Macaca fascicularis: one gene and its partners. The protein of the gene in region 3 interacts with the protein of the main gene of each other region in a biochemical or structural test. Links are inferred from orthologs where the notes say so. Each region holds a gene or a part of one and is shown on either strand. Other genes may lie near its edges. The genes, in order: UBE2V1, IRAK4 and PELI1.

Region 1 (2,443 bases), on a different chromosome or scaffold from region 3:
AGCAGGTTCCACTTGAAAAGTACATCTTACTCTAGTTTGCGTCTTAGCTTAGCCCCAGCATATAGCTGTTTTGTTTGAGAGTCTGAGAGTAATTTGCTTTTGTTTGCCTTGTTGTAGGTGGACCCAAGAGCCATATCAGTGCTAGCAAAATGGCAGAATTCATATAGCATCAAAGTTGTCCTGCAAGAGCTTCGGCGCCTAATGATGTCTAAAGAAAATATGAAACTCCCTCAGCCGCCCGAAGGACAGTGTTACAGCAATTAATCAAAAAGAAAAACCACAGGCCCTTCCCCTTCCCCTTCCCCCCCATTCGATTTAAGCAGTCTTCATTTTCCACAGTAGTAAATTTTCTAGATACATCTTGTAGACCTCAAAGTACTGGAAAGGAAGCTCCCATTCAAAGGAAATTTATCTTAAGATACTGTAAATGATACTAATTTTTTGTCCATTTGAAATATATAAGTTGTGCTATAACAAATCATCCTGTCAAGTGTAACCACTGTCCACGTAGTTGAACTTCTGGGATCAAGAAAGTCTATTTAAATTGATTCCCATCATAACTGGTGGGGCACATCTAACTTAACTGTGAAAAGACACATCACACAATCACCTTGCTGCTGATTACACGGCCTGGGGTCTCTGACTTCTCCCCTTACCCTCCCGCCTCCCACCCTCCCTGCAACAACAGCCCTCTAGCCTGGGGGGCTTGTTAGAGTAGATGTGAAGGTTTCAGGTCGCAGCCTGTGGGACTACTGCTAGGTGTGTGGGGTGCTTCGCCTGCACCCCTGGTTTCTTTAAGTCTTAAATGATGCCCCTTCCAAGCCATCATCCTATTCCCACACTCCTCCACTCCCACCCTTGGCCGAAGCATAGATTGTAACCCCTCCGCTCCCCTCTGAGATTGGCCTTCGGTGAGGAATTCAGGGCTTTCCCCATATCTTCTCTCCCCCACCTTTATCGAGGGGTGCTGCTTTTTCTCCCTCCTCCTCAACTTCCTTTTTGCACCGTCACCACTCAACACCTTCCATGACACTTCCTTGCTTTGGCCAGAAGCCATCAGGTAAGGTTGGAAAGAGTCTCTGACCTCCCTTGTTTAGTTTTGGAACCATACTCACTCACTGTCCACCAGCCTGGGAAATGAATAATGGGGCCTCAGCCCTGCCACCCTCTGCTGTCATCAGCTGATGCATTGTTTTTAGCTCAGGTTTTGATAAGGTGAAAAGAATCGTCACCAGGGTTACTCAGACCTGCCAGCTCTTGGAGTCCTTGGTGGTTGAACTTGGAGAAAGACCACATGAAGACACTTGTAAGCACACATGATCCCTCTGAATTGTTTTACTTTCCTATAATTGTTTTGCTTTTAAAAATTGAAGAAGTTTTAAACAGGGCTTTCATTTGGTCATCCTTGCAATCCATTGGGGTCTAGTTTGGAATCTGACAACTGGAACAAAAAGAACCTTGAATCCGGTGCATGCCTTGGTTTTGGTGCTGCTGCTGCTTCCCAAGATCCTCAGCAGGGATTAAGAAAGAACCCGGTGTGCAAAGCAGATCCCCGAAATTGGTGGGCTTGACCTCCTAGCAAATTGCTGCATCTTTCCACTTGCTGTTCAGGACCACTAAATGCTGAAATGTGGATGCATACCGAAATAAAAGCAATTCATTGTGTACTAAAGGTTTTTTTTTTTTTTAATTTAGTATTTGTGTAAAACCACCTTTTGAAGCAGCAACTATCAAGTCTGAAAAGCAATTGATGTTTCCATTAATCTTTTTCCGGAGGGAAAACCTTAGTTCTAAGGATTTAACATCCTGTAAGTGAAGTTTAACATAACAGTATTCCATAAACAGCCTTTTTATTGTCAGACCATTGCCTGATTTTAATAAAAAAAAAAGTGTGCGTTAATATTTAACAGGCTGTACTCTTCTTCCTCTTGGCATATTAGGGACAGAATTTAATGTTTTAGATGCTTTGGGGTTCTAATTGACATCCTAAAGCAGGGGTCGGCAAACTTTTTCTAAAAGGGCCTAAATTAGTAAATATATAGGCTTTGCAGGCCAAGAGGCAAAATCTGAGGACATTGTGTGAGTACTTATATTCTGAGAGAAAACAGATTTCCCAAATTTGTAATTGGTGAAATTCAAAGTAGAGTTCTGTTTATTTATAATGTTATTGGCCCACTAACATGAGGATTGGAGTTCTTCTAGGAGATAACATGTACTTTAATTGGGATTCATTCATGTTCCCTGTCATCAAGCCTTTTGCAAATGTTCATCTGTAAAAATCATTCTTCATGCTAGAAGCCATACAGAATCAGGCAGTGGGCTAGATTTGGCCCATGGATCATAGTTTGCCAACCCCTGTCCTAAAGATGGTAGGCCTCCTTTTTTTTTTTTTTTTTTTTTTTTTTTTTTTTTTTTGAGACAGAGTTTTGCTCTTGTTGCCCAG
Region 2 (3,659 bases), on a different chromosome or scaffold from region 3:
CAGGTTTGTTACATATGTAAACATGTGCCACGGTGGTTTGCTGCACCTATCAACCCATCACCTAGGTATTAAGCCCTGCATGCATATGGTTTTGTATATTTTAAAAATATTTTCCTGTATTTTCCAGATTATCTACTGTGAACAAGTTACTTTTAGAACTGCAGAGTAGGGGTAGAAGTGGAGAAAACAAAGACTAAAAACAAAAAGTTTGATTTTTTTTTCAGTGTGTATCATTTTTACCATGCATAAGTCAATTCTAGTGTATTCTTCCTACTTGAGGTTAAGTAACTATGATTGGTAATTTACAGCAGTGGGTTTAATGGGTATAATTTGGTAAATCCCATTAGGATTCAGATCAAAAGTTCAGGCTCTGCAATCAAACAGATCTGGATTTCAATCCCATCTCTAACACTTACTGGCTACGTGATCTTGGACAAGCTATTTAACGTTTCTAAATCTCAGTTAACAAACAAAATGGGCAGTTGTAATAGTTGTAAAGGTTAGATAGACAATGCACATAAGGTACATAGCACAATGTCTGGAATGTTGTACACACTCAAATATCAACCACTATTAATTACTATAATAATTAGAATACATTTCCTCCATTGTCCCTTCTACTTTTCCTGATGATGTCCAACAATTTTCCAGCACACAGGGTCAATGCTGAGAAGGCAGATAACATGACTCTAGTTGCTTTATAGGTGCTACTTTATATATAAAGTATATATATATCTTCAGATATATATGTGGATACTATGTGGAGCAGGGCTTCTCAACTTTAGTTTGTGAATCTCCCAAAATTGTATGTATGATTGTGTGTATATGTATATAACTACATTTTTCTAGGGGTAGGGTCCATAGCATTCAACAGATTTTTAAATTTTAAGAACTACTATGTAGAATGATGTTTATTTAAAGTATATCTGCCTTCAGCTAACAGCACATAGAGTAAATGCTTATCTTTGCAGATAACATGACTCTAGTTGCTGTATAGATGCTACTTTATATATTCTGTAGATAGTTTTTTTAAGTATCTCTACAATTGATCTCTCATGAATTCTGGAAGTAGAAAACATGATAATGAAGGACATGATAGTAAAATTCCACGTAACCTTGTTGTGACTTAAAATAATGACTGCGGTCAAGCGCAGTGGCTCCTGCCTGTAATCCCAGCACTTGGGGAGGCTGAGGCAGGCAGATCATGAGGTCGAGATCAAGACCATCCTGGCTAACACGGTGAAACCCCACCTCTACTAAAAATACAAGAAAAATTAGCCAGGCATGATGGCACACACCTGAAGTCCCAGCTACTCGGGAGGCTGAGGCAGGAGAATCGCTTGAACCTGGGAGGCAGAGGTTGCAGTGAGCCGAGATGGTGCCACTGCACTCCAGCTTGGGTGACACAGTGAGACTCCATCTCAAAATAAATAAATAAATAAAAATGACTGCTATTTAATCTCCAGGCATATGAGTATATGTAATCATAGAATTATGGAGCCAAAAGTACTTTCAATTTCTCTAAACACTTAATTTTAATTTCATATATGTGCAAACATCACTAGTTCATGGCATACTCTAGAGTGAACCAGGTTCCTTACTCCTTGTCTTTTTCCTTTCCACTACACCGCACTGCCAAATTAAGACTTACTTTGCCATTACTTTTATTTCTTGATCAAACTGCTGTTTCAGTTCTTCAGTAGTAATGTCAACCATCTGAAAAAATAAAATATACAGTGTAATACTGCACAATTCTAAGGTTCCTAATGCTCAGAGGGATCAAGAGATCAGCTGGCTCATCTCCCTTTCTTTAAAACAATAAGGTATTATTCTCCCAATTCTACAGAACAACTGAGATCTAGAAATACTAGCGATTTGCTCAAGGTCCATGGCTGGTTAGTGGAATGAAAAATATATATAAATTTCACTGAGTTGTGGAAACAAAATGAAATAGCATGAAATTTCACTACACAAAAAATTTGAAAAAATATTCTAGGAAACAGAAAACATACGCAATTTTAGTGCAAAATGGAAAACAAAACCTACAAAAGCCCTGCAATGTATATGACAAAGAGTGACTATCTTTATCACATACATATGCATTCTATTGATATTTTTAGGCTCTAACAAAAGGTTTAGAATATAACTAGTCAATAAGTAAAAGGTGAACACTCCAGTAGAAATGGCAACAAAGGACACGGATAAAAAAAATTTTAATGTTTTTTCTTAATGTATACTTCATAAACTTTATTTTTAAATGGGAAAAGTAATGCAAACATGGTTTTTTTTTTAAAAATAGTTTTCCTGGTTTCTTACCATTTTAATCTTGATTACATATGAGGCACTATGTGGAGCAGGGCTTCTCAACTTTAGTTTGTGGATCTTCCAAAATTGTATGTATGATTGTGTGTATATGTACATAACTACATTTTTCTAGGGGTAGGGTCCATAGCATTCAACAGATTTTTAAATTTTAAGAACTACTATGTAGAATGATGTTTATTTAAAGAAAATACATACTGAAATAATGTATTTCCTAAAGATTAACTTTATTATAGAGCACACTATGAAGCAACTCTTTATTCCTGAAAATATAACTTACTGCTGCAAGCTTCTTTACTGCCACAGTTGCATTATTTACGTAGCCTTTATATACAACTCCAAATCCTCCCTCTCCCATTTTATTACCACCAACAGAAATGGGTCGTTCATCAAAGTTATTTGTGACATTCTTCAATTCATAAAATGAAAAACTGTGAAAACCTATAATGTCAAAATAAGAAAAACATGCTTAAATTTTAAAAATACGTTTTAATAATTCTAATATTTTCTCATTTGAAGATTTCACATGTATGTAAATATTTATGATTTTGAATTAGACAAGACGGGAGAATATAAAACCATTTCTAAAATACAAATTATAAGTTTTTCTTGAGAATTCTGTTTGGTGATCCTACCCTCTGAACACTGTAGTCACCCACCCAAAATTCTAGTCACACATTTGAGTGGGTCTAGTCTACCTACCCAAAACTCTAGTCACATATTTTATTTTAAAAAGTGACCCTTCCAAGTTATGTAAATATTTACTTATTTTTTTTTTATAGCTTCTCTGGTTGTTTGCATGTCCTATTGCCTCTAATCACTGATTAACACAAAGAAGATGGTTCTTAATATATCAGGAGGAAAAAACTCACAAAAGAGCTATTGCCAGTGTGCCTGTGATTGCTGCACAAACAAAAGAACAAAAGCTTTCTTTTAAAGCACTGCTAGTCTTAATGACAAATCCACTAGTAGAAAGCACTGAAAATGTTACTTACGTGTATCACTAACTTCTAAACTTTTATTTTCTGGACTTGAGGAGTCAAGTGGCATATAGCTTTGTTCAAGATTCTGCAGAGGTGTCATCAATGTCCTGTCTTTGTCATAGAAAGGCATCTGTTTTTGTTGAACTGTTACAGCTTCTTTAGAAGGTAGTGTATTAGTTTTGGGAACAGCATCTAACAAATGAAGTAAGACACAAGTGGTTTTTCAGTAATAAGAAGTGGTTGTGAAAAAGTTAAACTGAAACTTGGTTCATTTAATATCATTCCAGTTTCTACAGGTTGGTCTCATATTCTCACAGCACACACAAGAAGCTACCTAGTAAGAATCTGTAAGTT
Region 3 (3,759 bases):
CCCTTTTTTCTTCAGCCAGAGAACTACAATTCCCAAGAGCGTTCTCGGCGCGACGACACCGCCTTCCGCTGTGGCCCTGCCTCGTCCCCTCCCTCAGGCCCCGCCCTCCGGTTAGACCCCTCCCCTCCCTGGGAGTGTATGTCAGTGAACCAGAGGCGGTGTGAGGTGGAGGGACCGTCGGGGGGCGCCGCCGCCGCCTCCACCAGCAGCAGCAGTAGCAGCAGCAGCGCCAGCCCCGCGGCGCGGTCGAATTGGTCCCCAGCCCTCCGGGAGTGCACCACGAAGCAGCCCCAACGCCTCTCCCTGCTTCCGCGGCTCCTCAGCGCTCGACTTCGTGGTCAACTTCCCCGCGCTGGGCTCGGCTGGCTGGCGCGGAGGGCAGCGGCGGAACGGCGGGCTGTCTGCTCGTGCTCCCCGCGCACAACACTTCACCCTCTCGCCTCGGGTCTCAGGGGCCGCGCTGGGATCCCGGCCACCAGCAATTGTCCGGTAAGTGTGGCCGCGGGGCGCCGCTGGATGGATGGCGGCGAGGCCGCCGAGGGGCGCGGGGAGGGCGGGCGCGCAACTTCCTCGGCGGCTTCTCCGGCGGCCAGCCAGCCAGCTCTCCCCGCCCGCTGCGCGCCCCCGCGGCGGCGGGGAGCGGAGTTTGCGGCGCCTCCATCCCGCGCCCTGGCAGGAGGAAGCGCCTTTGTCAGGAACCGGCCCTGTGCGGCCTCCCCCTCCGCCCGGGAGCCGGGCGCGCGGCGGCCAACTCCGAGCCCCGCGCCTGGCTGGCCGCGCGCTCAGGCTGCGAGGGGGGTGCTCTGCGGGTGGCGGGTAGGAGAGGGAAATGGGAGAAACAAAAGGGGCGGTGGGTTTCCCTTTTGTTTGTGCGGATCTGATAACTTCTTTTCCTCCCTTACATAACGCAGACTTCCAAGTTAGTCATTCTTTTTATTGTTATGATTGTTGTCATCATCTCCGCGCGTCTTTCACATTTCCTTTCATCTTCGGATCTCAGAGCATTTTAAACACGCTAATTAATTTCACCCCTGGGTCCCCTAGGAAACAATACGCCCGTTTCCCTAAGTGGGTAAACTGAGGTCGTGAAAAGCTCTCTGATGGATACGCTTGATCTTTTACCGCGCCTGGTATCTGAGGATATGAAAGAGTTTATGAGGAAGAACCCGTTCTCAAATGCCCCGTGGAAAAGTTAAAGATGCTCATTTTACTTACAGGTTAGCTGAAGTCCGAAAGATGTCTAGGTAATTGTTACGTAGTTCAAACCATAATTCTTCTTACATAGTGTTTGAATCTTAAAACCTTTAAAGAGTTACTGAGAAATGCTTCGAGTAGGGAAATTAATGTAAATCATAAAGTCACGTCACCATCTACTTTTATTTTTGTACGTGTAGGTCTCTTAGAGGCAAGAGAGCAAGAATGGGACAGAGGGCATAGGTTTTTTAAAAATGTCCATTTAACAGATTTTAATCACTACACAGAAGGAAATGTGCCTTGGTTTTAACAGCACCAACAATATTCCTGTCGTTTAGTCATCAAACAGTATATCAACAAATATTATTGAGAACTTTATTCGTAAGATGCTGGTTGTGCTAAAAACTGAAGCTTTATACTTTATAGATAAGAAAAGGTCATCTGTTTCGGTTCACAGGCTCTACTTTTTCTTACTCTGCAAAATGTTACTTTGTTTTCTTTGCACATAATCTTTTGTTTCAGAAATCGCATTGTCCTTTACTGTGTTGAATATGTATTACTCTCACACTTAAGGAGAAATGAATTTTTTATTCAGTTTGCTTAATAGGGTGAATTTAAAATTTTTTAGTTGTGGAAAAGGTTCACTTTGTTCAGTTCTGTTTCAGTTTACGATGCATCTTCTTTATAGCCAACAGAAAATATTTTCTGAGTGATCAGATTTACATGTCTCAAAACATTGTTCTTACTGTACAAATACAGCATATGAATTCCTTTATTTATATCAACAACCTGTTCTGGATAAAAATCTTTAACTCTGAGGACCTTATTTATTTTGTGAGTTTTTATTTCTTTGGTACCAAACTGGAAAGTACCAAAAATTTAAATCAAGCATCACTTCTACTAGCTCTTTCCTCAGGTAAATAATGATCAGAACTGTAGTAACAGTGAATAGTTTCACTTACTCTAAATTCTCTTACATTTAATTTTGTATTGTGTGGTTGTCCTTACATTTTAGATTTTGGTGGTTGCATCAGAAAATGAAAGTGAGATGTTCGTTATTTTATTTTATTTTTCCAGAGCCTTCTAACCTGTTCCCTTTCTATAGTATGTTAAAAGAGATCTTGAGTTTAACATAAATAATTGGAAAGTAGAACAATTATATGTATGGAAAGTTGCATGTAGTGAAGTGGTTATAATGTCTCATCTAGTGAATTTACAGGTTTTAAAGAGGAAACTATCACCTAGCTTTTTATTGGCATGGTAGAAGTGCTGTAATGTAGTAGTAGTGGTATTTATTTACTTCTAAAAAGCAAGCTGGAAATTTGCCTCAGTGGAGTTTGTAGGGGGAGAGAATCCATCCTTTCCTTAAGATTGACATTTAAATGTTCTTGCAGTTGGTTATGTTGAACTTTTTCTGTGGTATTTTCAAGCCAGATTTACCGGGGACATTTGTACTTTAAGGAAGCTACTAACACTGTCTTGGCTCAGTCACTGGAGTCCGCAGGCAGAAGTTAGTGTTGACTGGCGAAGTCTGGCTTTGCAGGTTTTATAATTTCTTTGAGACCCCTTAAAGGAAATGACTGAAAAGTACGGGGTAGGAAGCTAGTCTAGTACTGCCAAATGCCATTGAGGCAAGTTTCAAAGAGGAAGCCAAAGGATGTTTCCGTTTGATTTAGCTTCAGACTCTTCTGGGTTGTCAGAATGTCACTTTTGTATTTTAAGAGTTCTATCATTTCAGAATATGATTCGTTATGGTTTTCTAGTAGGTCAGGTGATAACGACTATAGATAGTCATTATGCTTCGTGGACAACTAATATTTTTAGGCAGAAGCTTCTACAGCTGATAAAGATTTTAAGCCAAAGACTTAGAATTGAAAACTAACATATACGTGTACATTTTACCATAATACACCAATGTAGACCTATCCTAGTATTTATTAGATTAGAAAGGCTTTTATGGATGATTTTATTATACAAATATATTTAACTGTATATATTAAAATTTCATAATGACTAATATATGATGGCACTGAGGTGGCTTTAGGTGCTCCTTTTGGGGGAAAAAAGTCCTGTTATTCTAAAAGTTACATTTATGTCTTTGAGGAGAGTAAAGCAGATTTAAAAGCCAGTGGAAAAAGGAAGAAAATCAACAAAGTGAAGAAAACCTGATGAAGATGTTTTTAAATAATACAATATAAAGTTTCCTGGCAGCATTCATATATAAGGGACAAAATTCTAGTTGAAGTCTATAAACAGTGAATTCCACTTAGCACTTTCTGTTTATAGATTTCTAGCCATCTTTTCCAGATTCCCTCTGAATATATTACACAAGCAAAGTAAATAGAAGTCATTCTTTCAAGGGATTTGGGTTCTTGGAGTTTTTTTTACACTTGTGGTAGTGGGGGAGGGGAGTGCTTATTATATTTTCTTAGTTTAAGTGTGACCTGTGCCATAGAATATTCCCCTAGACTAATGTGTGGGAACCTCAAGACAAGAAATATTGGTCATTGAAATATCTGGATATGATTTCAAGTTCTGCCACTAGCTTTTTTTTTTTTTTTTTTC

The links.
Region 1: the proteins of PELI1 (region 3) and UBE2V1 form a complex in vitro, tested with the Homo sapiens proteins (3 studies listed by BioGRID). The link is inferred for Macaca fascicularis from reciprocal best matches to the Homo sapiens genes PELI1 and UBE2V1.
Region 2: of the proteins of PELI1 (region 3) and IRAK4, one has a biochemical effect on the other in vitro, tested with the Homo sapiens proteins (4 studies listed by BioGRID and IntAct). The link is inferred for Macaca fascicularis from reciprocal best matches to the Homo sapiens genes PELI1 and IRAK4.

What each region holds. Positions count from the first base shown.
Region 1 is NC_088384.1:106,170,987-106,173,429, reverse strand, and holds the end of UBE2V1 (ubiquitin-conjugating enzyme E2 variant 1), read left to right. Parts: intron 1-117; coding exon 118-264; 3' UTR 265-1,907; downstream 1,908-2,443. UniProt on the Homo sapiens protein: Has no ubiquitin ligase activity on its own. The UBE2V1-UBE2N heterodimer catalyzes the synthesis of non-canonical poly-ubiquitin chains that are linked through Lys-63.
Region 2 is NC_088385.1:50,385,039-50,388,697, reverse strand, and holds part of IRAK4 (interleukin-1 receptor-associated kinase 4), read right to left. Parts: intron 3,498-3,659; coding exon 3,318-3,497; intron 2,764-3,317; coding exon 2,603-2,763; intron 1,717-2,602; coding exon 1,652-1,716; intron 1-1,651.
Region 3 is NC_088387.1:57,778,258-57,782,016, forward strand, and holds the start of PELI1 (E3 ubiquitin-protein ligase pellino homolog 1), read left to right. Parts: upstream 1-1,123; 5' UTR 1,124-1,217; intron 1,218-3,759. UniProt on the Homo sapiens protein: E3 ubiquitin ligase catalyzing the covalent attachment of ubiquitin moieties onto substrate proteins. Involved in the TLR and IL-1 signaling pathways via interaction with the complex containing IRAK kinases and TRAF6.